7 linked regions of the Xenopus tropicalis genome follow. The protein of the gene in region 1 purifies or fractionates together with the protein of each later gene. This does not show direct contact. Links are inferred from orthologs where the notes say so. Each region holds a gene or a part of one and is shown in the gene's direction. Other genes may lie near its edges.

Evidence for each region.
Region 2: the proteins of rnf185 (region 1) and srprb purify together in Homo sapiens (affinity purification with mass spectrometry; 3 studies listed by BioGRID and IntAct, with this or other methods). This does not show direct contact. The link is inferred for Xenopus tropicalis from reciprocal best matches to the Homo sapiens genes RNF185 and SRPRB.
Region 3: the proteins of rnf185 (region 1) and sigmar1 purify together in Homo sapiens (affinity purification with mass spectrometry; 3 studies listed by BioGRID and IntAct, with this or other methods). This does not show direct contact. The link is inferred for Xenopus tropicalis from reciprocal best matches to the Homo sapiens genes RNF185 and SIGMAR1.
Region 4: the proteins of rnf185 (region 1) and tmem259 purify together in Homo sapiens (affinity purification with mass spectrometry; 3 studies listed by BioGRID and IntAct, counting the BioPlex papers as one, with this or other methods). This does not show direct contact. The link is inferred for Xenopus tropicalis from reciprocal best matches to the Homo sapiens genes RNF185 and TMEM259.
Region 5: the proteins of rnf185 (region 1) and tmub2 purify together in Homo sapiens (affinity purification with western blotting; 3 studies listed by BioGRID and IntAct, with this or other methods). This does not show direct contact. The link is inferred for Xenopus tropicalis from reciprocal best matches to the Homo sapiens genes RNF185 and TMUB2.
Region 6: the proteins of rnf185 (region 1) and bri3bp purify together in Homo sapiens (affinity purification with mass spectrometry; 3 studies listed by BioGRID and IntAct, with this or other methods). This does not show direct contact. The link is inferred for Xenopus tropicalis from reciprocal best matches to the Homo sapiens genes RNF185 and BRI3BP.
Region 7: the proteins of rnf185 (region 1) and amfr purify together in Homo sapiens (affinity purification with mass spectrometry; 3 studies listed by BioGRID and IntAct, with this or other methods). This does not show direct contact. The link is inferred for Xenopus tropicalis from reciprocal best matches to the Homo sapiens genes RNF185 and AMFR.

The regions. Positions count from the first base shown.
Region 1 is NC_030677.2:152,010,001-152,014,123, forward strand, and holds the end of rnf185 (E3 ubiquitin-protein ligase RNF185), read left to right. Parts: intron 1-962; coding exon 963-1,080; intron 1,081-2,216; coding exon 2,217-2,314; 3' UTR 2,315-3,147; downstream 3,148-4,123. UniProt on the Homo sapiens protein: E3 ubiquitin-protein ligase that regulates selective mitochondrial autophagy by mediating 'Lys-63'-linked polyubiquitination of BNIP1.
Region 2 is NC_030681.2:129,992,232-129,996,987, forward strand, and holds the start of srprb (signal recognition particle receptor subunit beta), read left to right. Parts: upstream 1-1,763; 5' UTR 1,764-1,841; coding exon 1,842-1,974; intron 1,975-3,052; coding exon 3,053-3,147; intron 3,148-3,939; coding exon 3,940-4,017; intron 4,018-4,756. UniProt on the Homo sapiens protein: Component of the signal recognition particle (SRP) complex receptor (SR). Ensures, in conjunction with the SRP complex, the correct targeting of the nascent secretory proteins to the endoplasmic reticulum membrane system.
Region 3 is NC_030677.2:215,919,142-215,923,608, forward strand, and holds the end of sigmar1 (sigma non-opioid intracellular receptor 1), read left to right. Parts: intron 1-1,964; coding exon 1,965-2,165; intron 2,166-2,752; coding exon 2,753-2,845; intron 2,846-3,123; coding exon 3,124-3,353; 3' UTR 3,354-3,763; downstream 3,764-4,467. UniProt on the Homo sapiens protein: Functions in lipid transport from the endoplasmic reticulum and is involved in a wide array of cellular functions probably through regulation of the biogenesis of lipid microdomains at the plasma membrane.
Region 4 is NC_030677.2:100,361,756-100,365,858, forward strand, and holds part of tmem259 (membralin), read left to right. Parts: intron 1-2,127; coding exon 2,128-2,391; intron 2,392-2,776; coding exon 2,777-2,888; intron 2,889-3,085; coding exon 3,086-3,196; intron 3,197-4,103. UniProt on the Homo sapiens protein: May have a role in the ERAD pathway required for clearance of misfolded proteins in the endoplasmic reticulum (ER). Promotes survival of motor neurons, probably by protecting against ER stress.
Region 5 is NC_030686.2:18,479,217-18,483,946, forward strand, and holds the start of tmub2 (transmembrane and ubiquitin-like domain-containing protein 1), read left to right. Parts: upstream 1-1,585; 5' UTR 1,586-1,692; intron 1,693-2,694; 5' UTR 2,695-2,697; coding exon 2,698-3,299; intron 3,300-4,730.
Region 6 is NC_030677.2:160,067,730-160,071,832, reverse strand, and holds part of bri3bp (BRI3-binding protein precursor), read left to right. Parts: intron 1-815; coding exon 816-918; intron 919-4,103. UniProt on the Homo sapiens protein: Involved in tumorigenesis and may function by stabilizing p53/TP53.
Region 7 is NC_030680.2:51,707,761-51,711,863, reverse strand, and holds part of amfr (E3 ubiquitin-protein ligase AMFR), read left to right. Parts: intron 1-1,190; coding exon 1,191-1,283; intron 1,284-1,812; coding exon 1,813-1,977; intron 1,978-2,077; coding exon 2,078-2,230; intron 2,231-3,770; coding exon 3,771-3,811; intron 3,812-4,103. UniProt on the Homo sapiens protein: E3 ubiquitin-protein ligase that mediates the polyubiquitination of lysine and cysteine residues on target proteins, such as CD3D, CYP3A4, CFTR, INSIG1, SOAT2/ACAT2 and APOB for proteasomal degradation.

The DNA.
Region 1 (4,123 bases):
TCAACCCATCCGAGTAAACCCAGCACACAACCTATACTAACCAATCTATACACTCACATACATAAACTATATATATATACAACCAGTAATACTAACTGTAGATATTAGTATCACAATAGCCTTGGATATTCTGCTTGTTCAAAAACTCATCCAGGCCCCTCTTAAAGGCATTAACAGAATCTGCCATTACCACATCACTAGGAAGCGCATTCCACAGCCTCACTGCCCTCACCGTGAAAAACCACCTACGCTGCTTCAAATGGAAGCTCTGTTCCTCTAATCTATAGGGGTGACCTCTGGTGCGCTGATTGTTTTTATGGGAAAAAAGAACATCCCCCAACTGCCTATAATCCCCTCTAATGTACTTGTACAGAGTAATCATGTCCCCTCGCAAGCGCCTCTTTTCCAGAGAAAACAACCCCAACCTCGACAGTCTAACCTCATAGACTGTCGTATCTTTTCTGTCTGAGTGTTATTAAAAAAAGTGTGTGTATGTGGGGGGGGGGGCTGGCTTAAATAGGGTGTTTTATACTAAAGTGCTTTCCGTTTGTTTGTCATTAGTATATTCTTATTTAGGGCCGTGGCAGACGGGTAGATTAGTCGTTGTGCGACAAATCTCCCCGAAATGCCATCCCACTGGCTAGAATGTAAATCGCCGGTGGGATGGCATACACAGCAACGAAATCGGCAAAGTTTCCTCTGAAGGCGATTTTTTCAAATCGCTGCGCCGCGTATGCCATCCCACCGGCGATTTACATTCTAGCCGGTGGGATGGCATTTCGGGGAGATTAGTTGCCCACAACAAGGGAGATTTGTTGCGGGCGACTAATCTCCCCGTCTGTCACGGCCCTTAGAGTTGGCTAACGCTGGTTAAGGGGATTGATACAGTTATGCATTTCAAAGAGTGCGTCTGCATTTTTCTGTTAGATCCTGTCTTTTACATGTTTATTTCACTTATACAGGGTTTTCAGGGTTTCGGATTTGGTGATGGGGGGTTCCAGATGTCATTTGGTATTGGAGCATTCCCTTTTGGAATATTTGCCACAGCCTTTAACATCAATGATGGCCGCCCTCCACCAGGTAACATTTTCTTTCATCAAAATGGCCATATACATAGAGTATAAACATGCTTAGTTGTCTAGGTAACAGAAAAAAACTTGAACTTTTGCTGATGCCGCTATGCATTGAGCCAAATAAAGTATATCTGAGTAAATACTGATGTGATCCTTGAGCCCAGATTTGGCCTAATCAATTTTTCACAAGTCTAAACAGATGATTGGGTAAAATTACTGTTTCAAACTCAAGAACAGACTGATAATCTAAGGCTAGTGGCACACAGGGTTGATATTACTTTTGCATTGTCATACAAAATCCACTTGATGTGTGGTGCACTTGCACAAGGAGCTTATGGACACACATCAGCTTTTCTAAGCAGGCAGAGAAAATCCAGTCATCAGTCCCATGTGCAGTTAGCTTAAATTGAGGATAAAATGAAAAAACAGCAGCACTCCGGAGTCCCATGTGCAGTTAGCTTAAGGATAAAGTTAAAGGGGGTCCCATTGTATGCAACTATAAGGGATTTTTAGTCAATATTGATGATAAATTTTGTATAAACAAACCCCTAATTTTTGTAATCTGCATCAGGATTTCAGATGCTAAATGCTAAAACCTGGCAGTCATTTAAAGCAGTAAGATTAGTTTGAATATCGGACGACAACATTTAAACAAGATAGCAACGCTTGCACACATCCCTATATACTAAGGTGACCAGATCACTTAAGAATTTAGGGACATTTAATAAATACATGTTGCAGGGCAGTACTGATTTAATTTAAATTAAATTGCAATCAGTTCAGCCATGCTAGCTTGATTTTTTAGACATGTCCCTAAATTTTCAGGTGATCTGGTCACTCTACTATATACGCCAAAAAGTGATCAACAATACCCCAGATCTATATCCAGCTGCAAAGCTATCTTGCCCTAACAGGTAGAAACCCTATTTCCTCTAATACAACCGATTTATATAGTATCAATGGGTGCCCCTCTTCTCTTGCATTGTTCCTAGGTTTAGATATATTTTATAAAAACCTACTTTCTCTGAGCCACCTCTATGTACTTTTCAATTACTCTCCCTTTAAATAGTTTTTGCTTTCCAACAATTTTGTCTGTGGTTACAGCAGTCTCAATATCTTGACTTGTTATTTTTTTTCTTACAGCAGTTCCTGGGACTCCACAATATGTCGATGAACAGTTTCTCTCTCGTCTCTTCCTCTTTGTTGCCTTGGTGATTATGTTCTGGCTGCTAATTGCATGATGCTGGCTCCATGTGATAAAGACTAGGTTTAACAGACTGCATACCTTTCCTTGAAAATCACAAATCTGCCATATTATTACTCTTGTCATCAAAATGCGCCATTCTTGATGCCGTGCTCCACAGTTTGTAATGGATGACAGTTGGGTGCACTACATTTAAAATATATATATATATTAGAGAGAAATAAATAGTATTATTGACTAGGGATGAGCTTTGTAAGAGCAGGGTTTTCTGGAAAAGCATTGCAAAATGACAACAGGAAGGCAGCAGTGTAAGAAAAATAATACAACCAGTTGTGTAATATCAGGATGCAATTTGACTCACTTCAATATAACTTCTATAATGAATCAAATTACACTAGAAGATCAGATTACGTAGCTGACAAGGAGAGTGGAAGCCTGATTGGGAGTGAAGCACTTTCAGAGTCAAAATATGGAACCAAAATCACAAGATAAAGTTATTCAAGAGGATGAGTGATATAGGCATAACAGCAGAATAGAAGTTTGTACACAAATACCTAAAAGTCTCCAGATACTGAACTACTGTAGAAGGAACAATGGAAACCTCAGAACTGTGCAGAACACAGATTAATGCAACAGAAGAATGCCTGACCTGCAAGTGAAGCATATGGTGTGGAGTTGGAGATATTTTCTGGCATTTCTGACACCAGACACAGCCCGATGTGTAGTCACCTCCAGTGAAGAGAATGCTGTTCATACTGTATTCCCTAAGAACTTATGACCCAGGTTGGGCTGAAATGATGTTGATTCCTCAATTTTATGAGATTTTAATATTTAAATTACAGTTAATTAAATGATACTTTTTGAAAGATATCTTGAAGTACTGCTAAAGTATATATGAATATAAAGAAATTGAACATACTTTAAAAGGGATCCTATCACAAATTCCTTGGGGTTTTTTTGTCCTTTTTTTTGTATATATGATTAAATAGCACGATGCAGTTTGCAGAGAGACATAAGATATTTTTATTTTCTTGGGTTATTAGTCCCTGTCTTTGCTGAGCTTATATCTGATACTATCCTTAAAGGCACAGTAACAACAAAAAATCTTTTGCTTAACTTTTACTCCTCCATAGATTTTTAAGGGGCTTAACCCAAGTATTTTATTTACAAAATGCCCTGCTGCAGCTTTTAATAATGGGTGATCAAGCAATAGGCACCCTGCATTTCTCTGAGCTGTGAACTGAAAGAGGAATCAAAAGTTTGACTGCCAAAGATCCTCCACTATGAAACTGATTTCTGTTTCAGTTGTGATTTTAGGGGCTACATTAAAGCGAAGTATAATTCTGGGTAAAGCAGTTAAAAAATCCAAAGGGGAGTCATTTTTACATATTACAGCAGTTTAGGGGTGGATTAATTACTACACGATTTTGGTGTCACCTTATGTGGTTTAACAGATGTAAAAAAAAAAAAGTTAATGTAAATGAGGAGGGAAACAGTCAAAAATCGGGGAGGACAGATGCTTCTTTTAGGAAGTTATAAATACTGTGTTAATTTTGCAATTAGTTCAAGTTTAGCCAGGCCACTTTTCTGTACCAATGGATTGGAGAAAAAATTATGTAAGTGCAGTAATGAAACCTACAATTTTCGGACTACGTGTGGGCTCCAAATTATCATTCCAATAATTTTCGCGCCATGGCTATCTGTCGTTTAGTCGATTGGCCAGGTTGGATAACGATAAAATCTGTATAAGTATTGTGTATCTGATATACTTGGGGGACCTACTATGGAACTCAATTTCATATGATTGATGTCTGCTATTCATGTTCAGAACATCCTACAATTTCAG
Region 2 (4,756 bases), on another chromosome or scaffold:
AGATTTGTCACGGGCGACTAATCTCCCCGTGTGCCAGAGCCCTTACTGAAAACATGATAAAGTTAAAATCTAAAGATACTGGGGCAAGCAGGTTTCCAGAGCAGGTTGGAGAAGGTGTGGGTGAGTTATTACAGCAGCAGGTAAAGGAAAGGCATGCAAGACCATGACATAAATCACAGGGAAGCATACTTGTGGATAATGATAAAGGAGCTGGCAGGGTGTAAGCATTCAAGGTAGGGAGTAGTTTGTTGAGAAGTGGAAAAGTGGAGGTACTGAGATGGTGGTTTTGGGAAGGGATAAAATGTAAGCCCGAAAGATGGTTAAAATGGAGAGGAAATTGTGGATGTGGAAGAGTGAGGCTGTAAATACAGCATGGGGTACATTGGACTCTAACACACAGGGTGGGCTTTCACTACATGGAAAGATCAAGGGAGGATGTAATGAAACTACAACTCACTAAGGCTGTGTGCAAAGTAAATGAATAAATGGACACCAGAAGGTTCTGAACTGAACTGAAATTGATTTATTGTCCAACACTATGATCCACAGGGTTATGCAATACTCACAAATACAGGTGGCATGGATTAGGCAGGTTCAATTATGGTAAAGCAGAAAGATATAGCATCCACCGGTTTATCCCAACTCAGCCGACTGTGGGCAAAGACTGCCAAACATCACGGCACCACTGTGGGGAGTAGTCTGAATAGTAATTATTTTATTCCTTAGGGCAGAGATTCCCAACCTTTTTACCAGTGAGCAACATTTCAATAAAAACAAGGTGGGGAACAACACAAGCACAAAAAACTTTTCTAGTCAGTGACCAATAAGGACTGGTTAATTTGTAGCCCAATGTGGAATGGCAGACTACTACAAGCTCTGTTTAGCAGTACACATGCCTCCAAGTCACAAATTAAAAAAAGGGCACCAACTTTGAGGCCACTTAGAGCAACATCCAAGGGGATGGTTAGCAACATGTCGCTCACAAGCCACTGGTGCTGCATTAGAGTAACTTAATGGTCAGGATGCCTTACAGCATAAATTTCTACATGACCTGCATTGTTCATGTCTGTCCCTGCCCCACTGGAGCTTATAAACAAGGGCCTTATCATAATCACAAGAAAATGTACATTAGAGTTGACGACATCATGAACCATTAACCTGTCCGTAACCAATCAAATATCCCCACTGTAAATTGTAGCTTTCAATGGGGTTGAAGTTTGGCGCTGTACTGAGTGTTGCATCACAACTGGAAGTGGTCAAGAAGAGCACAACCTATGCCAGGGGTGGCCAGACTTTTTTCAGTCGCGATTGACCGATGACCGTGGAATGCGGCAGTGAGGCGTGAATGTGTATGTAGGCAACGCAGCGTACGCACTCATTCACGCCGCAATTCCACATCCCGGCTTCATAGCTGTCCACCAGAAATCCACGGGGGATCGACCGGTGGACCGCAATAGACGTATTGGCCATCCCTGAACTATGCCATTCCTTTTCTGGGACTGTATTCCCACAATACCTATAGGCAACAGGTATATATCAAGTCACACCCCACTGGCAAATAGGTCCGTGTATAAACTAATGATGCGCAAGTAACATTTGAAATGTAATACTACAAAATAGAAATATGTATTCTTAATTCATTCCACTCTCTAAGACGCGCAGCAGCGCAGCTCAAACACCAGGGAACACATTTGCTCGATAATATCCCGGCCTGCACCGCGCCTATAGAACAGCGGCTCTCATTGAGAGAATTACACGTCACTGTTAGTCGGTGCCTGCGCAATGCATCTCTAGGGCAGGAGTACGCATGCGCTGCGCTTAGTTACTGCTACGTGTGAATAATGGCGGAGCCTCAGGTTCAACATGATTCTCGGTGGTTGCCGGACATGGAGTTCATTACACAGGAGCTGCAGAAGCAAGACCCGACCTTGCTCTCCGTGGGGATCGCCCTAATTGTTGTCGTGCTTAGCTTTGGTGAGTGGCAACTTTCCAAGCCGGGTACAGTTGTGTGAGGAGATGGGGAAGGGACTTATGATGTGACTGACAGAAATAGCCAAGTGCCCTACCTTTAGGCGATACTGTATTGGTTTGTGAATCTGTGGTGAAGGTGTGTGTGGGGCAGACCATCTCGGCTAGGGGAATTCTCCTCCACCCCCATTTGGTACCCACAATGTACTGTGCCATGGAACATGTGGTACCTGAGTGTGTGGGCACTGACAGGTTAAATGGCTCCTGATGTTATTGTCCCTAAAGTGTATTTTTGTCTAAATATGATTAGGCCCCTAGGCCTCTGACTTCTGATACAAGTAGAAGGGAAAGGAGAAATCACTGAGGGATGCCAAATGTTAGGGAACAGACAGATAGGGGACCCATTATCCAGAATGCACAGGACCTGGGATTTTCTGGATAAGGGGTCTTTCCGTAATTCAGATCTCCTACCTAAAGTCTGCTAAAAACATTATTTAAATAGTAATTAAACCCAATAGGATTGTTTTTCCTCCAATAAGGATTAATTACATAATTATGTGTTAGTTGGGATAAAGTACAAGCTACTGTTTTATTGTTACAGAGTGAAAGGAAATCATTTTTAAAAATGTGAATTTGATTAAAATGGAGTCTATGGGAGATGACCTTTCTGTAATTCAGAACTTTATGGATAATGGGTTTCTGGATAAGGGGTCCGATACCTGTACTACAATAGCAATTCCAACTACAAATAACTTTGCTTAAAGATGTAGTTCGACAAATCCATTATGGTGCTATTGCCTGAGGTTGCCTTATTACTGCCTGTATAAGAACCTTTTGGAGGCTTAACTTTTGTAAAGATAAAGGGCGGTGCAGAGTGCTGCATCTGTCAGTAACCTGGGATTTGCTATTGTATAAATGAGTTCAAAAATTAAGTGAGGCATCTGGGTTAATAGCGCAAGTAATAACAGGTGCTTTTTTATTGTTTTTTTTTCCGGTTATAAAGCAAAGGAACATGAGCTGTTCGTTTCTAGTATAGTTGCTTGGTGTTTTGGGAAGGGCGTCACATTGTCTTCTCTCTCCTCAGTTCTATGGAAGATTCTGCGAGGCAGTCGGACCAGCCGCAGAGCAGTGCTGCTTATTGGAGTGTGTGACTCGGGAAAAACTCTACTGTTCAACAGGGTATGACTACCAACACGTGGGTACAGTTGCTCTGTATGAAGCTACTCTTGCCCACCGGTTGCAAAAATTTTATTTTTTTTGGAGCACCCTTCCTGCATAAAAGAAAGCATTTTAATTGTAGCCTGCTGTTTAAGAGATCCCCAACCAGTGGCTTGTGAGCAATATGTTGTTTACAAACTCCTTGAATATTGCTCCCAGTTGCCATAAAGAAGGTGCTTATCTTTTCATTACTGGCTTGGAGGCAAGTTTGGGTTGCATAAAAACCTGGTGTAATGCCAAAACCAGTCCTTCTGTAGGCTGCCAGTCCACACTGGGGCTACCAAATAGCCAATCATAGCTCTTATGTGCCACCCCCAGGACTTTTTTTATGCTTGTTTTGCTCACAAACACTTTCTCTATTATGGTTTAAGATATACATCTTTTTCTACACCTCCCACTATATATAAAATTTGGCAGTTGCTTCTACAGCTCCAAATAAATAAATACATTTATATATATAATCTGCTTTTGTATGTTCTTTAGAAACCTGTTTCTGTAGCTTTGTGTGTGTGTAGGTGGGTATCAGCAACTTGTTGCTACAGCTCCTAGTACACTTCTATAGCTTGCATCTACATCTCTTGCTTGATGATGGTTACACAGGATTCTTACAGGACCAACGTTACGGTATCCATGTAAAAATGCTGCTGCTCCTCCTCTGGTTTATAATCCATTCTAGTAACATTTCTCTGTTACTAGTATAATCTAAATCCATGAGCATTTTTGTTCTAAATTCACTGTGTTCTTTTATTTTAGTTACTTACAGGAACATACAAGAAAACCCAAACCTCCATCACTGCCAATTGTGCTGCATATAAAGTGAAGAATGACAAGGTAATGGTCTCAGGTTATTTTTTTTTAATTTTTTTTTAAAGGGCATCACAGTGGTTCAGGCTCATAATGTTGGCAGGTCACAGCATGGTATACATAGGCAATGTATTATCCATTGGCTGAGAAAGGTGGGGACAAGTTGTAAAGTACAGAGGAAAATTGTGCTCCCCAGTATGCTTTTTACAAAATGTAAATGTGCAGGTCGGAACCCACATATATATCGTAGTTAGTAATGTTTTATTGTTGGTAAAAGGTGGCATTACATACATGTACACTTAATAACTGAAATTTTTTTTTATTTATTGTATAGATTGTATAGTCATCTATACTCATGTTTCCTCCCTGTGAGAGAAAACCATGTGAAACCTTGGCAAATGTAGATGTGCCCCTGACTCACACATACCCACCCCTCAGAGCACCAAAGCCTTTTCTCTACCCCAACATGTTTCTTGCTCAAAAGTGAAGGATTGTGGGACTTGTTGTTCCTTTACCTGCCCAGTGTCCCATAATAATATATATAATATTCCTGTTCTGGTATTTTGGAGCCCAGAGAGGGTGTTAGTGCAGCTTCTTTGCCGCTAAGTCTTTGTGACTTGGTTGTACTTAGCCTTTATTGCTCTAAAGCCAACGTTCTTTTTAACTGTTTTTATCCGCATTTGTGTTAGCATTGCTAAGGTGTTGGTTTCAGATGGAGGTGTGTTTATTTTCATTCCTGTTTGCTGGAAAGAATTAGATGCATACA
Region 3 (4,467 bases), about 64 Mb from region 1:
GAGACCCCCCCTTAGGCCTATTCCCGGTACTCTCGCCAAGAGACCCCCCCTAGGCCTATTCCCGGTACTCTCGCCAAGAGACCCCCCCTTAGGCCTATTCCCCGGTACTCTCGCCAAGAGACCCCCCCCTTAGGCCTATTCCCGGTACTCTCGCCAAGAGACCCCCCCTTAGGCCTATTCCCCGGTACTCTCGCCAAGAGACCCCCCTTAGGCCTATTCCCCCGGTACTCTCGCCAAAGACCTCCCTTAGGCCTATTCCCCGGTACTCTCGCCAAGAGACCCCCCTTAGAGCCTATTCCCGGTACTCTCGCCAAGAGACCCCCCCTTAGGCCTATTCCCCGGTACTCTCGCAAGAGACCCCCCCTTAGGCCTATTCCCCGGTACACTCGCCAAGAGACCCCCCCTTAGCCAATCTCCTTTCCGTGGCCCCTGGCTACCCCCTTAGTTGGCCACTTAGTGTCCCTGAACTCCGGCCAGTGATGCCGGGAGGCAATAACCTCACTAATCTCCTGTTGGGGCTTCAGACTGCCCTTACTAGATACTCTGTCTAATCTCTCACTCCGAGAGTGACTATAACCGGTCTCTCTGAACTCTCTAACGGGAGCCTTTAGCCTCTATCAGAGGGGGGTCCCAGGGCCAAAGCCCTTACAGTGAGCCATCCCCTTTATCCTGCAGCACACTGCCACCTAGTGGTTACTGCTGAATTACAGGGAAACTCCCTTTTCACACACAAACAGCTAGGACCCCCCTTAGGTGCCCATATCCAACAGGGCCCCCCTCTGGTGCCGCTCTAAAGGGGCCCAAATCTTGGGATCCCTACAATAGGGACCCACAGGCACATTCACAGGTAGGTGTCTCCCTGGCCCAGTGTATCTGTGGGGGTGTCGGGGTGCCCCCTGGCCCAGTGTATCTGTGGGGGTGTCGGGGTGCCCCCTGGCCCAGTGTATCTATGTGTGGGTGTGCCCCGTGTATCAGTGGGGGTGCCCCGTGTATCTGTGTGGGGGTGCCCCGTGTATCTGTGTGGGGGTGCCCCGTGTATCTGTGTGGGGGTGCCCCGTGTATCTGTGTGGGGGTGCCCCGTGTATCTGTGGGGGTGTGGGGGTGCCCATGTATCAGTGGGGGTGTGGGGGTGCCCCGTGTATCAGTGGGGGTGCCCCGTGTATCAGTGGGGGTGTGGGGGTGTCGGGGTGCCCCGTGTATCAGTGGGGGTGTGGGGGTGCCCATGTATCAGTGGGGGTGTGGGGGTGCCCCGTGTATCTGTGGGGGTGCCCATGTATCAGTGGGGGTGTCAGGGTGCCCCGTGTATCTGTGGGGGTGCCCCGTGTATCAGTGGGGGTGTGGGGGTGCCCCGTGTATCTGTGGGGGTGCCCCGTGTATCAGTGGGGGTGTGGGGGTGCCCCGTGTATCTGTGGGGGTGCCCCGTGTATCAGTGGGGGTGTGGGGGTGCCCCGTGTATCTGTGGGGGTGCCCATGTATCAGTGGGGGTGTCAGGGTGCCCCGTGTATCTGTGGGGGTGCCCCGTGTATCTGTGTGGGTGTGGGGGTGCCCCGTGTATCTGTGTGGGTGTGGGGGTGCCCCGTGTATCAGTGGGGGTGTGGGGGTGCCCCGTGTATCAGTGGGGGTGTCGGGGTGCCCCGTGTATCAGTGGGGGTGTCGGGGTGCCCCGTGTATCAGTGGGGGTGTGGGGGTGCCCCGTGTATCTGTGTGGGTGTGGGGGTGCCCCGTGTATCAGTGGGGGTGCCCCGTGTATCAGTGGGGGTGTCGGGGTGCCCGTGTATCAGTGGGGGTGTGGGGGTGCCCCGTGTATCAGTGGGGGTGTGGGGGTGCCCCGTGTATCAGTGGGGGTGTCGGGGTGCCCCGTGTATCAGTGGGGGTGCCCCGTGTATCAGTGTGGGTGTGGGGGTGCCCCGTGTATCTGTGTGGGTGTCGGGGTGCCCCGTGTATCTAACTCCCGTTCCCCGTAGGGTTGGATTATGAAGTCGCTTTCTCCAAGATCATCACGGAGCTGAGGAAGAAGCACCCGGGGCGCATCCTGCCGGACGAGGACCTACAGTGGGTGTTTGTGAACGCGGGGGGCTGGATGGGCTCCATGTGCCTGCTCCATGCCTCCCTCACTGAGTATGTGCTGCTGTTTGGCACTGCTGTGGATACGAGTGGCCACTCAGGTGAGTGCACGGCCCCTCGGCTTTGGGGACTGGTTTTGGCAGGGATTTGGGTCGGGTTCTGGGTCGGTGCCATTGGCCGATTACTGCCCTGTGACCCTGGTACCATGTGACTGATACGCCGTTCCTGGGGCATAACCAGCAGCTAATACTGCCCCCCTGTAAATAGGGGCCCCCCGAGCGCAGATCCCCCGGGCCCCCGGTGGTAGTTCTGTGAATGTGGGCAAATCCCAAGCATTGGCCGTAAGGTGCCCAGCCCTTTGCATCTTGGGGGTCTCTGGGGCCACAGATAAACCCGAGCAATTAGTTAATTGGCCAAATGCCCCGCTGGCTTCTTATGAGCTCGTTACCATCTCGGGGCAATTAGAATCATTTGCCTCTTCTGTCCCTGCAGTCATTGTGCCTTGGAATCATGAGGCTGCCCCCCCCCCCCCCCAGGGGGCTAATAGGGGAGGTTCCTGACTGGGGTACAATGCAGGATTTGGGGGCCCCTTCTTCTCTGGGGCGAAATAGCGCCATATTGGGGCTGAATGTGTTTGGGAAAGGAGGGGCCCCCGGGGGCCACACAGTGACTTGTCGCTGCTTTACAGGTCGTTACTGGGCAGAGATATCCGACACCATCCTATCCGGAACGTTCCGCCAGTGGAAAGAAGGATCGACAAAAAGTGAGATATTTTATCCAGGTAGGTACTGGCCTGGGGGGGGAGAGTCTTGCATCTGCCCTACGTGGGGGCAACATATCTGTATGTGAAATGTTCATTTACCCAGCCGACCCTCCTGCCCCCCCATTCACGTTTAGTCATTGTGCCCTGTGCCCCCCAGTTGTGCCCTGTGCCCCCCAGTTTGCCCTGTGCCCCCAGTTGTGCCCTGTGCCCCCCAGTTGTGCCCTGTGCCCCCCAGTTGTGCCCACTCTCCCCTGTTTGTGGCCCCTAATGATGCAGCTCCGCCCTTCTCATTGCAGGAGATACCATTGTGCATGAGGTGGGGGAGGCCACGTCGGTGCAGTGGAGCGCTGGGACGTGGATGGTGGAATACGGCCGGGGGTTCATCCCTTCCACGCTGGGCTTTGCTCTGGCCGATACCATATTCAGCACCCAGGACTTTCTCACCTTGTTCTACACAGTGAAGGTTTATGGGAAGGCCCTCCTCCTGGAGACCAGCACCCACCTATCAGAACTGGGCTTCTTCTGAGTGCCGCCATATTGATTCCCGTCTCCCTCCCCCTTTCCTTGGCTGATTTCTGCTTGAACCAGCAGGAGGCGCTAGCCCGTACTTACTGGCCGTATGTAATTCCCTATAATCAGTGCTAATTGGGGGAATTTTTGGTTCAAGCCTCTCTTCAGTATTTGCCCCCAACCCCCCCCCCACCCATAGCAGGGTGCCAGATTTATGGTTTATGCCTAACGCCGGGCTTCCAGGGTCTGAGAGCCAATCGGCATCCTCTGTAAGTGTCACCTGACCTAGGCTCCAGAGCCACTGCCTTAACTATGACCATGTTGTGTGGATGAGCCCCATGAAAGTGTCGGCGCTGTTGGGCAGTCGGGCGGCTGGCACTTGGGGCTCAGGGGGTAAATAAAGCATTTGCCCATATTGGGAGATGATACACTGGATTTCTGACTGCTCCATTGGATGGGGGGGGCGGGTCACAGGGGCATTGGGGATTATTTTACTCACCCTAAAGTGTCCTGATTTGCTATCTCTGGGCTCCTCCCACCCTGCCCATTGCAGCATCTCCGTGGCACCCGGGGGGGGGGTAGTTATAAATACCCACATGGAAACGCACCTACGGGGGAGCAAACTGGCACCAAAGTAGACAGGGGGCCCCGGTCCCTCAGCCACAGGCAGCGGATAAACGGTTAAACCCCAAGACCGAAAAAAAAAAAAGGAAAAGAGAGCAGTTACCCACGTGCCCCCCCGCCTGGGCTCCATCTGTGGCAGAATGTTCCATGCCCCTCCCCTGGCACCATCATGTCTGTGTGGCACCTCCCTGCCCTCAGCCTGGCACTGTGTGGGTAATGCCCTTCCCTCCCCACTAGGTGGCGCTGTGGGTGCAGAGCTGGATATTTGAAAATCTAAATATCTGAATCTTGTTCCCAAGGTCCCTTTATGTGGACTTTCTGTAGAAGGGTTGTCCCCGCCAGAACCGGGCCTCCCCAGCACCCCGCCAGAACCGGGCCTCCCCAGCACCCCGCCAGAACCGGGCCTCCCCAGCACCCCGCCAGAACCGGGCCTCCCCAGCACCCCGCCAGAACCGGGCCTCCCCAGCACCCCGCCAGAACCGGGCCTCCCCAGCACCCCGCCAGAA
Region 4 (4,103 bases), about 52 Mb from region 1:
TCTCTTCAGGTCACCCCATAGATTTCCAATCCGATTAATATCTGGGCTCTAACTGAGCCATTTCAGAACAGTGTTCCTCCTTTGGTTAAACCATTGCTTTGTTGATTTCAATTTATGCTTTGGGTTGTTGTCATCCTGAAAGGTGACGTTACCTTTTTTTATCTTCAGCTTCCAAGAAGATGCTTAAAGCTTTTGTGACAAAATAGACTGATACTTCTTGACTAAAGCACCAGTTTCAGCTGATAAATAGCAGCCCTTTGCTGTGCTGTCATTTTTGCTCCAAACATACCTTTTGGAACTATAGCCAAATAGTTTAACCTTGGTCTCATCGGACCATAAAACATTTTTCAACATGGTTGTGGGAGACTGTATACCTTGCAAAGTTTAGCCGGGCTCAGATGTTTTTCTTTGTGAGTAATGGCTTTCGTCTTGCTACCCTACCCCACGACCCAGACATATGAAGAATAGAAGTGTTTGCAGGAATCTATGATTAGCAAACAACATTTGTTATAGGGGTAGGATTACCATCTAGCAACGGCTAATGGGGGTTTGGTGGCAGCCTTCTGAAGATACGCTGAAAAAAATTATGTACCACTAAAACGCTGAGGTAAAAAAAATCTTCCCATTCAGCTAATCCCCTTCCTGCTCTATACTGTCCAGTCAGCACTGAGCAAACCTGTGCTTGCTCCCACATATTAAAGGCGCAAGCATGTCAGAAGCAGAATGCAGAAACATGGCTGCAGTGGTAAAATACATCCCCCCCATCATTAGCTGTTGCTAGGTGGCAATCTCCCATAGAACAACCAACATATTGCAATTGCAGCTCCTATAATGTTGACTTTAGTCCTCTTGGTGACCTCCCTGACAAGTTTTCTCCTAGTCTTCTCATTAATATTTGGATGAACGTTCTGATCTTGGTCAGTCACTGAACCATATTTTCGCCACCTTTTTGATGACTGACTTCACTGTGCTCCATGGAATGTTTAAAGATCCTTTAATACTTTTTGGATACTTTTTTTGTACCCCTGTCCTGATTTATATCTTATAATGATGAGATCCCTTTCATGCTTTAAAAGTTCTTTGTAGACCATGGCTTTTGGAGTATGAGACCAAGATGCTACAGCAGCGGTTCTCAACCTGTGGGTCGAACAACCCTTTCACAGGGGTCACCTAAGACCATCGGAAAACACATTTCCGATAGTCTTAGGAATAATTTTATGGTTGGGGGTCACCACAACATGAGGAACTGTATTAAAGGGTCGCTGCATTAGGAAGGTTGAGAACCACTGTGCTACAGGAACAGCCAAATTTTATTAAACCCTCATTTATTGATGTCAGGTGTATACTACTACTACTATTACTATTTGAGATGAGATTGAATGTGATTAGTTTATTCTGAATGCAGCCACTTCCTTGATTATTAAAGGGTGCGCCCAGAAATGCAGCCAGTTTTTTGTATGATTTTTTCTTTTCCTTCTTTCACTTAAATAATTGATTTGTTTTTAATTTATTTGTAAAGACCACCTATATGTTTGCTTAAATATGCAATACACAAGCAATATTTTAATATCACTAATTATTTACTTGAGTTTGGGTAAAACATTTACACTTCAAATGTTTATAAAAATAGGAGTACCTATGCAAGTTGGTGTCTTGAATTTTCAGCTTACTTCAGACAGAATTTTAGTATGATGTAAAAGCAATTTTCTAAAGTTACGATTGGTATTTATATTTTGTTCTGCAGCTCTCAAGTCTATTCTTTGGTCGGTATAGCTTAAATATTTAGCCTTACTAAGAGTTAGAAAGTAAACCTGAATAAAATGATATGCAATAAATCTTGAAAGGAAACTTTGTCTAGGTGCAGTAACTCATAGCAACCAATAAGTCATTCATTTGTGTCTACATTTGAGGTTATTTCAAAAGAGGAAAATGTCTAATATCTATATGAACATCAATAGTAATGTAAGGCTTTTTATGCTTGGTAGACTTTCTGGTATGTTTGGGGGGTACAAAAGGTTAATTTAGCCTGATAAGCTTTGCACTATTTAAAATGAGCTTAGACTCTTCTGTAACAGATTGGTCTAGGATTAGATATATTTTCACTTTTTTTATTTTATTGTTACTTAGGCCCTCCTGGTACTGTTTATCCTTGCATATATCCACATTGCATTCTCCCGTTCCCCAATCAACTGCTTGGAGCATGTTAGAGAGAAATGGCCTCGGGATGGAATCTTGCGAGTGGAGATTCAGCTGAACTCAAGCCGAGCACCCATCTTTTTACAATTTTATGACAGTGACACATTTCCAGGTTTGGTAAAGGAACCATCTGGGGAAGATGAGGAGGAGGAGGAAGAGATGAGCGTGGAAATGTACCACAATAGCTCCATCAAGGTACTAGGTTTTGAGTATTAATTGAAGATACAAATATTACTCTGGGCATTTTTTCATTTTCTTCATTTAATTGTAGAGGCAGTTCTTCAATATTTTGGGTAGTTGCCACCTGTAGAGCAATCAAATATTGCTGCCATGTATGCTGTTTTACAAGGTAGACGGTCACACAGAACAATTAGTTGCTTGCATGCTACGAGTTTCATTGTTCTTATTCAAATGTAGTGAATGAGGATTAGTTGGTTTTGTTTCACACCCCGCAAACAAATATTTCTATGAGTAACAATAAAATATGTCCAGAGCTGTGCCAACTGAACAAGAGAATGTTAGCTTTGGATGCAATAGTTAAGCTCAAATTTTCTCACAGTAATGTTTTTATTCCATATAGTTTGAGCTGGATATTGAGCCCAAAGTATTCCTGAAGCCATCTCTAGAGAGTGTTACTCAGGCCTCTGAAAACCAGAGCCAGACACTGTCCTTCAGTGATGCTGCTAGCAAAGGTGCGTTTCTGTTCACTTATAAAAGTAGATCTTTGTGCTGGGATGTATATGACTGAGACACTAGAGCTGGTTTACTAACTCAGGTTTTTAATTTCACAAGTGAAGTAGTTACCCAAAGCAAGCAATAAAACCTTTGCTATAATATCTACTGTCACGTGCATAATCTGGCCTGCCATAAAGAAAATATTTATTTTTAGTGTGGCCACAAGAAGAGTACATCGTGGAATATTCCTTAGAATATGGCTTCCTGCGGCTGTCTCAGAGCACAAGGCAGAGGCTGAATATCCCTGTTATGGTGGTTACACTAGGTAAGTTGCTTGTGACATTCACTGTTGGTATTAATGAATAATTTCTTTCTTTAAAGTTAGTCTTTTTTTTTTTTATTTATGCCCTAAATTTACTCTAAACAGCCCCAGAATAACATACCTTTCTCTGTGCATGCAGATCTATTTTGTTTTTCTATTACAAGCCGTTAATTTACTGAGTTCTTTGCCTAGCATGAGCTCTGCTCCCTTTTTCTTTATGAGAACTCCTCTCTCAGACTTTAAAGACCTCAAAGAAATGTCTACTGGATCCGGATGCAGGGAGAAAGACATGTTATTCTGGGGCTGTACGGTTACTTTTTGGGGATTAAAAAAAGGGGTTTACTTATTCTTTAAATAGCCATTATTTTTGTTTGCCATGAATGAGTATGTATTCTAAAGAGGCTCCCACCAGGGACTACTTTTAACCAAACATTTTCTAGGTCTTCCAACCTATCAATTATTACACTTCAAACTGATATGTACAGCGCTGTGGAATATGTTGGCGCTTTATAAATAAATGTTAATAATAATATGTAATATAACAGAAGGAGGCAAGAACAGTGCTGTGTTAGGTGTGTTTAAAACAGAATCCAAAAAGCCTTATCTCTGCATGTTGGATCCTAACTGGTGCATTCAGTTTACAAGCTTTTTCTGGATATAGAATAAGCACATACAAAAGCATGCCATTCAGGCATCACCTTTTGAAAGTGCTGTGTACCTTAAAATTACCATTTATTGCACTATAGGCAGTGTTATTCTACAACAACTATCAAATAAAAATATGCACCACTACAAGAAAGTTAAAAATGATTATAAACTTTATTACACTCCATTAAAATAAACCCCATGTACAAAGCCTAATGGAGTGTAATAAAGTTTATAATCATTTTTAACTTTCTTGTAGTGGCGC
Region 5 (4,730 bases), on another chromosome or scaffold:
CACCTTCATCATCCTCGTTTTATTTTCCATGCAGTCACTTTTCTGTGTTTCCCTAGGGTCACTGTATGCAGTTGGCCTGCAATAAATATGGCAGCCGTGTGTTAGATCGCATGTGGACGGCATCAACCTTAAGGGTCAAAGATGAGATAGAGCAGAAGCTGGGTATGTCTGCTATACAGCTATACTGGGGTGATCCAGAGATCCCTTCCTGTAATACGGCATTATATTTGATATATTCTCTCTCTCTCTCACACAGTCGAGAAGCTCCACCAACTGCAGAACGATCCTGTCGGTCACCACATCGCCCGCAACTTTGCCCTGACGCACTTTGTGAAGCGGAGGAAATACTGGGAGGAGCGCCAGCTGGGGGAGAACAAGCGCCGAAAAATGTTTTCTGAGATCCTGGAAGACTGAAGCGACATCTGAAAAAACTGACTTACAGCTCTAAGCCATTGCCAACATGGTGCCTTGGTGCGGAGTTTGACAGTTCAAGCCAGGACTTGAATCAGTCATAAATCTGCCAATTGGTGGTTCTGGAAGTCTGGATGTTACAACAGAATCCCTTCCCTTGTTGATTAACATGCAATGAGCTGGACTCTATCATGATATGGAGCTTATATTTATAGGGCAGTGGTTCTCAACAAGCTAGTTGAAATACTTTATTTCACTAGGTGACAGCACTTCTAAACCGGGATAAAATGACAGCCTCTTTTACAATTATGATTAGTGATGAGCGAATCTGTCCCATTTCGCTTCGCCATAAAATTTGCGAAACGGCAAGAAAATTTGTAAAACGGCAAAAAATTCACAAAACGCATTAGTCACGCTATTTTTTTTTGTTGCCCACGTCTATTTTTTGTCGCCTGTGTCTATTTTTTTGTCGCCCGTGCTTTTTTGCTGCACCCGCGCCTTTTTGATGTGACCATGCCCGATTTTATGTGACAACGCCCTTTTTGACGCGCAACGAAAAATTCCGTAAAAACAAGTAGGATCTATCCTACATGCACTATATTTTATAATTCCTATGATTATTCATTTTCCAACTAGAACATAGTCCAACTATATAAAAAAAGTCTATTTCCTTATATGCAAAGGTACACTGTTCCATTACCAACTAGGAACTAGATATATCTGACCATATTGTCTAGTTTCTATTACTGTTCCTTTTCCCACTAGATTTTAGCCCAACTTACACTGAAAGATCTATTTCCTAGTCTGTAAAGCTGCTCTGTTCCACTAGCAACTTGGAACTAGATATGTCTGAAGAAATTGTCTAGTTTCTATTACTTTTCCCTTTCCCACTAGATGTTAGCAAAACTACACTGAAAGATCAATTTCCTAATCTGTAAAGCTGCTCTGTTCTATTACCAACTAGGAACTAGATATATCTGAAGAAATTGTCTAGTTTCTATTACTGTTCCTTTTCCCACTAGATTTTAGCCCAACTTACACTGAAAGATCTATTTCCTAGTCTGTAAAACTGCTCTGTTCCATTAGCAACTTGGAACTAGACACAACCCGCCAATCACTGCCAATCGCTACTCTCTTCCTACTTCCTATTTCCGGCCAGCTAAAGTGACGCTGTGTGGTGACGTTTCCCCGGGCGCGTAGTTAGTGACGCAACCTTCCAGATACGGGTGGGCCCTTGTGAACTCGGGTTTGGGCAAAGAGGGATCCAGGCGAAGCCGGGCGGTAAGTGACACGCTTTTGACGTCACGTCATATTTAGACCCGCTCAGGACTCAGGAGCCGTGACCTCACCCCCTTACGTGTATCACCCCCTTACGTGACATCATCACACCCGGCCGTACCATTGTAGCCTCGACTTCCTAGCGTTTATACGTGACAGGCACACTGTAGCCCCATTCAGACTATGATTCCCTGACTGAGTTTGTGTGCTTGTATAGGGTTTTGTTGATAGGCAATGCCATTGGTTCCACTGTGTGTGCTGCGGTATTGGTGCCATAGTCACTCTGTGACTGCTCTGAAAATGAGTGGGAGGCCAGGTGACTGCTGAGAGAGAAGGAATTTGGGGCCTTGTCTATCAAGGGGCTGAAGGCTGATGCCCTGTCTCTGCAGTGTCTGGGCCTTTTATTGTATAATATCATACAGAGAGACCCCTGCTTCAATGTGTGGGAGGCCCCTATGTGGCAGTGGATTGTTGGTGGCATCCTGTGTTTGTGGTTTCAGATAGCTGGGGGGGCTGAATGTGGGTCATCTTTGTATTCCTACCTGCCCGCACAGTACCCCCTTTTAGCTTACCACTCAGGGGCAATCTGGCCCATTCAGAGTCAGCAGCGTATCTACCTGTATATGGGGTGCTCTGTTGGGCCTGCCAACCAATACCTGGCTGGAAATTGAACAGATTTCGATCGGCTTACTAATGCCTTCCTAGTCTCGATGGCCTGCGTTTCATCATTGTCGTATGATTGGCCAAAACAATCGGATGGGCCCAATACTGCCCACCTCATATAAGATCTGCTTGTCTGGTGACCTTGCCAAACAAGCAGATCCTTACATGTATCTCTAGCTTAAGAAGTACATGTTACCTGCAGCCCTCCTTCTGCTGTTGGATGATAGCTACCTGCCCTTGGCCAGTAGATATAGTTTGCTCAGTGTGCTCACGGCCCCTAGTAAAGCATGGTGGGCACTGTATCTCTTTCATGTAACATGTGACCATCTGTCCTTCTTCTAGGAAATGGGCATGGAGTCGCCCCCGCCAACCATGATAGAGGGTCTCGGAGATGAGGTAACAGTAGCAGTTGGTCTCTTCATCCTACTCCTAGCCATCACCTTGGCATGGCTTTCAACCTACGTTGCTGAGGGAAGTGACCCCCTTTTAGGAAGCTTAATCCCAACTGGGCGCAGGGATCCTCTCCTGGTACTCAGTAATCCAGTACCTGCCAGTCCTGAACCACAGAGGCCTGCGGAAGCCCAAGCTGAGAAACCAGAAGAAGGAGAGCAGGATCCTGGTGGAGAGCAGGAAGCTGGCAGTGAAAATGCTAACCTGGATCAGATGCTGGATATTCAGGGGGTATCCAAGCGCAGCCAGGCTGTGCCACCACTGAGAGAGGAGGATGGCACAGAGCAGGATGTGACACAGGAAGATGATAAAGAAGCGGAAAGCCCTCTTATTGTGGGTAGAAAGATAGAACAAGAGGAGGAAAAGCCACTTGCAAAAGAGGGGATGACTCGGGAGAAGCCTGAAGAAGCACTCATGACAGTCAGGCTTAAGTTCCTGAATGAAACAGAGGAGGTGGCTATGGTCAGGCCAAACGACACCATTGGGATGTTAAAAAGGTGAGATAGTGAGGAATTGGGATACAAATAACAGATAAAGAATATAAACCAGATTAAAGGTGGTCAATAAAAGCTGACAACTGGGTTCCTCCAGGACAGTGCTGTCCAACTGGCGGCCCGCGACCCCCCTCTGTGTGGCCCCCCACCTGTCTGGCTGCTTTGATGGCTTACCTTTGAGTAAGCATTAAATGGTATCAGTACTGAGATTAACTGGCCCCCTGCATGGTTCTCACCTCAGATTCAGGCTGTAATCCCTCTGTATTGTTTAAAAATGTAATCCCCTGTGTTTTTCACACCTTTTAATACCTGCATTGTTCACACCTCAGGCTCAGACTGTAATCACTCCCATTGTTCACTTCTTCACACCTCAGACATAGGTACTGTAGGCAGAGTATGGCACACACAGGCAGCATAGGTCAGGGAGGGTATGGCACACACAGGAAGGGAAGGGCAGGCAGAGTATGGCACACACAGTCAGGTTAGGGCAGGCAGAGTATGGCACACACAGGCAGGGTAGGGCAGGCAGAGTATGGCACACACAGACAGCATAGGACAGGCAGAGTGCTGTCTGTGTGTGCCATACTCTGCTTGCCCTATGCTGCTTGTGGGAGGTGAACCTGGCAGGGGTTTGTTGTGGGAGTTTGTTAGCAGTTGGAAATAGCCATTAAATGGTCCCTAAGGTGTGAAATTATGTACTGGGGGTTGCTCTGCTATCCACAGGGGAAGAGGAGGCATATGAAATTTAAGGTTATATCTTAATATGACATAATTCTTTCACATATGAATGATGGTTGATATCCCCACAGTAAGAACCAAGCATTTGGGATTTTGCTGTGCTACCACCATTGTGATAAAATAGGTGTGGTTTGAAGTGGGTGTGGTTTCAAAAAGGGGAGTGGTCAAAACTGGCTTCCATTAGCGGCCCTCCACCATGTATGCTAGAGAAATTCCGGCTCTCGGCACCGTAGAAGTTGGACAGCACTGCTCCAGGACAATGTGGCAGCCTATTGGCCCATGTAGGAGGCCAACCAATATCTTTCAGGTTTGAAAATCCCATTAGACTAGAACCGCATCAACACATTGATGCAGTCCTCATCCATTGTGTCTTCATAGTCCCTGCTCTATGATCTGCCCATTGGCCCTGCGCATGAGTGGCCAAATTGGGTTGAGCGTGAACAGATTTCAACATGTATGGCCAGATTAAAGCTAATCTCTACATATCCAGCCTGTAACACCTCTAAGACTGTGGTTGAACAACCACAGCATGCACTTGGCAGGTGTATTTCAGCAATAGCTGCAAGGTTGCGAGTTGAAAATGTAACCTATACCTGAACAATTGACTGCAGTCACTGGTATCATATAATATGTACATAGGTTCTGCAGTAGGCAGTGCTAGTCCATGCCTGTAGGTAAATACTGCAAGGTCTGCTC
Region 6 (4,103 bases), about 8.1 Mb from region 1:
GGCACTGCTCATGCAAGTGATGCACACCCAGTTTCAGACATGCATGACTCTGTCCTTTAGGAGTTTATGCGGGTGATTCGATACTATTCTCCCCGATTTGCCTTGAGTCCTGCTGTTATTGCTTTGTTTGTCCCTGATATGTCTTATAAAACTTATTCCCTATACTTTTAATGTTTAGATACTTCTTGCAACATTCTTTCATTTGATACATGTGTTGAAACCTAATAACCACTTACACATAACTGTAACACTTGTAGCACTATAGTTTCACCTATTTTTACCTCATTTTATTATATGTCTTTGCCTCTTTTTGCTTCTTTTCTTTATGCTGTTTATTTACAGTGGTTGCTATAGTTACCAGGGTCACTTTTTGGCACCATTTTTGTGGGAGGGTACTTAAATTGCGTGTTGGTATTCAGTCTGTTGGTTTATCCCTGAAGAAGAGTACTGTTTGTACTCAAACTTTTGAGTGTGAATGATAGAATATCAGGACCAGCACTCCTAATTTTATGTGTTTCTTTTTAACACATTGTACAAATGTCCGTATGTATATGTGTATTGTTTAAATGTCTCTTTTTGTCGTTTTATTTAAACATACATACAAGCAGAAATTATTTTTGTAATAGTGTGGTCTCACAATTAGGTATATTTAAGATCAAATTCAAGGCTTCCTGGACCTGAGAAAAAAGTACTCTGCGTGCTGTGGCTGGGGAAAGTCTTATTATTTAGAAATGATTCATAACTGTTACTGTCTTCTGCATCTGAAGTTAGAAATAACAGAAACTAAATGTATATATTTTTTTCTTCCTGTCTAGTTCTTCTCCCGGCTAACAGAGAGGTTTGTGTATGGAGTAGATGTGTTAGTAGAGACGCTCTGGAGGATATGGACGGATCTCTTAGAGGTTCTTGGAATTGATGGTAAGTGGTTGATATGCAGTCAGCAGAACACATTTGGCAGGTTATTTAAAGCAAGGGTGCCAGATGTCCTATTAAAATACTCTAGATAAGGTGAGCTGCTCTTTGTATAAACTTCCTGATAGAAGAGACCTTTCTATTCATTATCATTAACCCATTTTCTGCTGAATGGATCTGCATTTGAAGGCAAAGCTATACAAGATTTATATGTACAAGGCCTTATTTCCCTCCTAGTACTCGGGCAATGAAGTAAAGAGTAAAGGTGGCCACATACGTTACAGTTAGATCACAAAAATAGATCGTTCATCCACGCTACTAACGTTAAGAGTAAGATATGCAGGTAAAAACAAAGGAATTCTTTTCCCCTATCTGACAATTCAGCATTAATGTTATGATGTCTGGGCACCTCCAAAGGCACTTGATCAAAATTTTTAGTCCTGCGCAATAGACGAGACTACCAATATCCAAGGCTTTTACTGATACTGATCGCCTTGTCTCCCACCATTAACGCAAAGAGTATCTTTGTATAATATCAGTGCCTGTATGGCCACCTTTAGATTATCAAAGGTAAAAGCAAAAAAAGATAAAAGTAAAGAAGTTGCATAGAATTTGACTTAATTATCTTGGAAGCTGATGACCACATTAGGCCATGAATGCATTAGGCCAGGCAACATTTCGCAGCAGCTTCTTTTCATTATATGTATGGCATGTCAAAAGTTCATCCTGTATGTGAATTATATATTGGAACATAGTTTTCCAATATATATATATATATATATATATATATATATATATATATAAATAAAAATGCAAAATTAATATTTAATTAAAAACATTAAGTGAAATTTAGATATTTTCATATATTCATTTGAATCCTGTATATACACAGGTCTGTGTGTTGTGCATTAGGATATGCTTTTCTATTGTGCCTTATTCAAACCTGAAATTTAAACTGCTGTCTGGTTGCTATAGTCAATGGAAACACTTATAGGGTTATGTAGGGTCCAGTTACCCATAGCTACAAGTCAAAAGGTAGCATTTACTGGTCACCTGTTTAAAAGCAAACATCGTATTGGTTGCTGGTCCTAGGCAAACTTAGTGCCTTTTATTATATACGGCGGATATATTTTTCTTAGGTCACTACAGGCTGGCTTCTGTACAGCTGCTAGCAGAAGGAACATTTATGTAAGTGGTTGGTAAGGTGTGCCTCTTTAGCTACTTAAAACTTGTTTTTGTTTTTTTTAATCTTGGCATTGCCTCTCTTTATAAGTCTAATATTCAACTATGAAGCTTTGTGTTAACTTACAGTATATATATATATATATATATATATATATATATATATATATATATATATATATATATATATATATAAAGGAGAAAAGATGCCGCACTCACAGGTCTTAGTGCAAAAATAAAGAAAAATTTATTTAAACAGACTAACGTTTCGGCAGTAGAAGATCCGATCCAAAAATTAGCCGGACACATTGGTGTAGTAGTTAGGGCATAGTATATGCTGTCAACTGGCTCACGGAGCATAGCACCAGTTGAGAGCATATACTATACCCTAACTACTACACCAATTTGTCCGGCTAATTTTTGGATCGGATCTTCTACTGCCCCTTCAGCACCCTCTCTGCGATGCGTGGGACTTGCAGTTCAGCATAACAGGTTGCTTGCTACTTTCTCTACTGGTTCCATTATCTTCCTGTATTTTCTGTGTACATTTCTATCTCTCACAATGATCTTACACACAATATTCTCTACTCAGATACTTTTATGTATTATTCTTTATTTTTTATTTATTTCCTGCACAGTGGGTGGGTGGTGTTAAACTAATTTATGCTATGACGTCAGTAACTGTATTTTGGCGCCAAGTTTGGTTTAAGTGTGGGTTGCTCTTCATGTGTATTCACTTTGAGAAAGGCTGTAGCCACAGCCGAAACGTTAGTCTGTTTAAATAAATTTTTCTTTATTTTTGCACTAAGACCTGTGAGTGCGGCATCTTTTCTCCTTTGTACCACATCGTTTCATACTGCACCCAGGCACTATTGGCTCCTACACAACGCGAGTGCCGGCTCTCCATTGCAATATATATATATATATATCGATCACCAGAAGAATGTGGGAAGGTAACATGATAGCAGCTCCCTGAAACCCTTAGTGCTAAAAGTGGTAAATATCACAATAGCGCTCAATAGTAAGAAATCCAAGTCCGGCTTGGGACTTCTCCAGTTACATGGGAGTAGGAGAAACAATTGCTTATCTGAAAGCAGTTCTAACATGTAGCGTTGCCTCTTTCTGAACGCTCAGAATCAGTGCATTGAGATGGCTACACACCAATATTACAACTAGAAAAAAAATCCTTTGTTGGTTCAAGAATAACGTTTAAAATGGCAGAGTGAATTATTTGCTATATAATAGAGATGCACTGAATCCAGGATTCGGTTTGGGATTGGGCCAAAATTTGGTCTTTTTCGGCAGGATTTGGATTTGGCCGAATCCTTAAAATCATGTGACTTTTCCCACATTAAGGCGGAAGTTGAAAGTTTTTCACATACACACGTAGTGCACGGTTGTTTTTACACCTTCCTTGCTTTAGTTTGCATATGCAAATTAGAATTCAGATTCAGTTCGGTATTAGGCCTTAAACATTCACAAAGTTTTTGGGGTTTGGGCGAATCCCAAAATAGTGAATCCAGTGCATCCCTACTATGTAAACAGTGTAATTTAGAAACAAAGAGTACACCATAAAGATCATGACAGAATCCCCCTAAAGCAGTCTCAGTTGGGCAGTTGGGGGAAATACTTTTATTACCTCTTTCTCTGCAACAGAAGTGACTTGAGATTTTACTTGAAATGTGTGTTATACATGTTTAAACCTAGGTGATTATACGCTGCTTCAGATTTCCAAAAAGCCTTACACTAGAGCAGGGGTCCCCAACCTTTCTTACTCGTGAGCCACAGTCAAATGTAAAAAGACTCTGAGAGCAACACAAGCACCATAAAAGTTCATGGAGGTGCCAAATAAGGGCTAAGATTGGCTATTAGGCAGCCTCTATGCACACTATCAGCTTACAGGGGCTTTATTTGGTAGTAAATCTTGTTTTTATTCAACCTAAACTTACGACCAAGTCAGGAATTCAAAAATAACTACCTGGTTTAGGGGTCAAACCTAGGGGTTGGTG
Region 7 (4,103 bases), on another chromosome or scaffold:
CCAACTAATCTGCGCTTTCACCCCCCTGGGGTATTTATGCCAGTTGACAAAACAATATGTGGTTTTAATGAGAAACACTTATGTCAGTGTGCACATATATAAAAACTGAATCTGCCTCATCAGGGCCATTCAGCCTGTCATTTACTTAAATAGTAATCCCCCTGATACGAGGCCTTAAGAAATATATTTTTTTCTGGGGCCAGTTCCTTAACATATAAGTATTTTTAACTGGAAAAAAGATTTCAAGATCTAGTACAAAAGTGAAATTGAACATTATTTGTAATATATTTCAGTGCATTTTCATTTCCTCATGTTACTGACCCTTTAAGTGTGTGTATGTGCCTATACATACATAAATTTAAATGGCTAGTTGACTTATAAATAAAGTAAGACTGGTTAAAATAGTAGCAAAAATCCTGTTTTAGTATGAAAATACTACATGGGACTACAAGACAGGTAAGTTAACTTTTGTACAGGTATAAGACTGCATGCATATTTACTGTAGCTTCTTTATGCATTTGTCTTTATTAAATGGGTAATTCACCTTTGAGTTACATTTTAGTATGAAGTGGAAAATACTATTCTGAGACAATTTGCAATTGGTTTTCATTTTTTTATTGTTTTTTTTTTTATTTCACTTTTTGCTCTCAAGCTCTTGAGTCAGCAGCTAACTGGTTGCTAGGGTCCAAATTACCTTAGCAACCAGAGAGTAGTTTGAATGAGAGATTAATATATGAATAGGAGAGGGTCTGAATAAAAAGAAGTAAAAAGTAACAATAAATCTGTAAGTAACAATCATTTTTTGGCTGCTGGGGTCAGTGACGTTCCTTTGAAAGCTGCAAAAGTCACAAGAAGAAGACAAATAATTAAAAAAAACTATAAAAAGACAAATTAAAAAGTTGCTTAGAATTGGCTGTTCTATAACATATTAAAAGTTAACTTAAAGGTGAACTACACCTTTAAGGATTTTTCCTTTATCACCCCTCCCATGTTAAGAAAAGTGTTTTCAGGTGATAATATCCTTTTATTTCTCTAGGGTTGTACACACATTATAAATTAGTATACCAGGGTACAGTTTCCAGTATTAACCAGTCTGCAATAAGATTTAAAGAGTCAATTACAAGTTGGATAATGGCAACTGCACTTGGATAATGGCACAGGATCCACATACAGTCTCTCTTTCTCTACAGGTTCTAGTGAACACAGTGTGTTGCCTTTTGATGCTGATTGCTAAACTGATCCAGCATGTGGTATTTGGTCCCCTCCGTGTTGGAGAGAGACAGGTAAAAAGGACTGTCTATGTTCCAGTTGGTGTTAAAGGAACAGTAACACCAAAAAATGAAAGTGTATAAAAGTAATAACAATATAATGTACTGTTGCCCTGCATTGCTACAACTGGTGTGTTTGCCTCAGAAAGACTACTATAGTTTATATAAGTAAGCTGCTGTGTAGCCATGGGGGCAGCCATTCAAAGGAGAAAAGGCACAGGTTACTTAGCCGATAACGGATAAACCCCCATTATATGGGGCTTATCTACTAATTATCTGCTATGTAACCTGTGCCTTTTCTCCTTTTTTCCAGCTTGAATGGCTGCCCCCATGGCTACACAGCAGCTTATTTATATAGTAGCTTTTCTGTAGCAAAAACACCAGTTTTTTGCAGAGCAACAGCACATTATATTTTAATTACTTTAAAACACTTACATTTTTTGATGTTACTGTTCCTTTAATAACCAACTTGTATGCTGTTTAATCCTACAAATTGCAGTCATCTTGACTTTGCACTCTTCTCTTGCCTTCTTTATTTTTGTAGCACTTGAAGGACAAGTTTTGGAACTTCATCTTTTATAAATTTATCTTCATCTTTGGGGTACTCAATGTCCAGACAGTAGAGGAAGTGGTCCTTTGGTTTTTGTGGTTTGCTGGATTGCTTTTTCTTCATCTCATGGTGCAGCTCTGTAAGGATCGGTTTGAATACGTACGTAGAATGGGAAAAAAATTAAACATTGCACTAAAAATTTAGCTCTGATTCTGCTGTGCATATATTTCTAAATGATTTTCTCCTTTCTTTCTTACAGTTATCTTTCTCCCCAACCACTCCAATGAGTTGCCATATGCGTGTCTTGGTTCTGCTGAATATTATGCTCTTGGCCTGTTGTGGTCTTGCTGTGCTGTGTGCAATTGCTGGATACACACATGGGATGCACACATTGGCTTTTATGGCTGCTGAGGTAAGAAAATACCAGATTGTTTCTCCCTGTGGTACATAAGCCTGCTCGCTGCTTTAATATACTCCACATTTAGATACCAAATTCTTAGTCTCCCTGTCTTAGTATACTGCTTTTGATTAATTTTTAAAAGGTATTTATACCCTATTATATAATTTAATGTAAAATTGCTCACTTCTCTTCTGGTCTCTGCTATTATCATGAAGGTGTAAAAAAGCTTATTTTACTGAAGTAGGATGTGTCCGTTGATGCTTAGCTTAGCTCCCCTTCTCTGTAATCAATGTGAATTTCAATGTGCTGAGATAAGCAGTTTTATATGTTATACATAGCGTTAATGTCTCCTTTTAATTTAAGTTATTACTTGAATAATTACCAATTAGCATTTAAGTTTGTCTGCATTTCTAACTTATATCCTGTTGTACTTTTTGTCAGACTATAGTTTGTCTTGTCTTGTTTTTAATGGTAGCAGGAATCTCTCAAAAGGAAAATAAAGCAACACAAGTCCTCAGAAAGGGTTCACTCCTTGAAATACAGTACCTTTTTAGAATTTAATAAAAGTGACTGCATTGCTGAATTTTCCATTTGAATGATTCCTTAAATACGGTAAGGTAAATCCAGTTTTTTTTTTTTTCTTTAAAATACCAGTATATATATATATATATATATATATATATATATATATATATATATATATATATATATATATATATATATATATATGAGAGTTTAAGTGCCTTTTTTTGATGTTGGTGTTCTCTGTGATTGGTTTTACTCAATCTTACAAACACATCAGATCAAATGGATCGTTTCTTTAGAATACAATGTTATTTAGTACGTAGCCAAAGAGATTAACAAGGGTCCAGTGGCATTAGTAGCACAGAAATAGAATTAAAACTTTTCTTATATAAATGGGACATTTGTTGCTAAGAAATAGTTTATTTTTAGGTGATGTCAACAATTCTGTAGGGAAGCACTGGCACAACACATTCAATAGAGTAAATTAAAGTGCAAATGTGCCAGTATTAATTTAATTACTATTTAATAATTTAATATTTTATTTCCTTAAAAGTGTGATTGCTCAAATCTCATGTAAGTGTAGGTGATCTAAATATCACACTCTGGCTAAATCACCTAATCACCAGATGCATAAATAGCAAGGCCAAACATCCATCTTTCATCAGGGACCTTCTGTCTATCTTATGTGGATACCCACTGAAAACAAAGTGCACCAAAATTGTGTAGTAACATTTTAATAAGAAATAAATATAAACCCAAATGGAATACTCACAGAGATTCATTCAAGCACTAAATAAAAATTCTTTAAAATCCTGGAAACTTCTGAGGTTCTCTACTTGTTTCATGTGGTATGTTACACATCCTCAGGAGGTATCACCTATTTTAGGTGATGGTTGGACAGGTACGCATTTTAACTGTAGAAATAATATTTTTATTTTATGCTGTTGCTGGACACTTAAGAGAATTGTGATCTAAAAGCTGCTGATTATCTGTGCACATTAAAAATGAATTACTTTTATTCCTGTAGTGCATGTTGGTGACAACAAGAACCACTCATGTTGTGCTACGGTAAGCCCTAAAACTATTATTGTGTTATTTTTTTTTATTTTTTTTTAAATGAAAGTATGTACAATAGTGTTAAAACCAAAACATATCAAATAAGTATATTATCTTACAGCAATAGCTCGTGCTTTTACTGCAAGAGTTGTTTTGTGCTAAAATGTAGCCTTTGATGTGATGTAGAAAAACTGTGTAACTGAAGTTGAGGTATTGCATTGTTGATCCAGGAGAGTTTTGCTTGCAGAGGTCTGTCTGTCACTGTTCCTTGTGCATCAGCCAGGGCGGCAGGCAGAGACCGGTG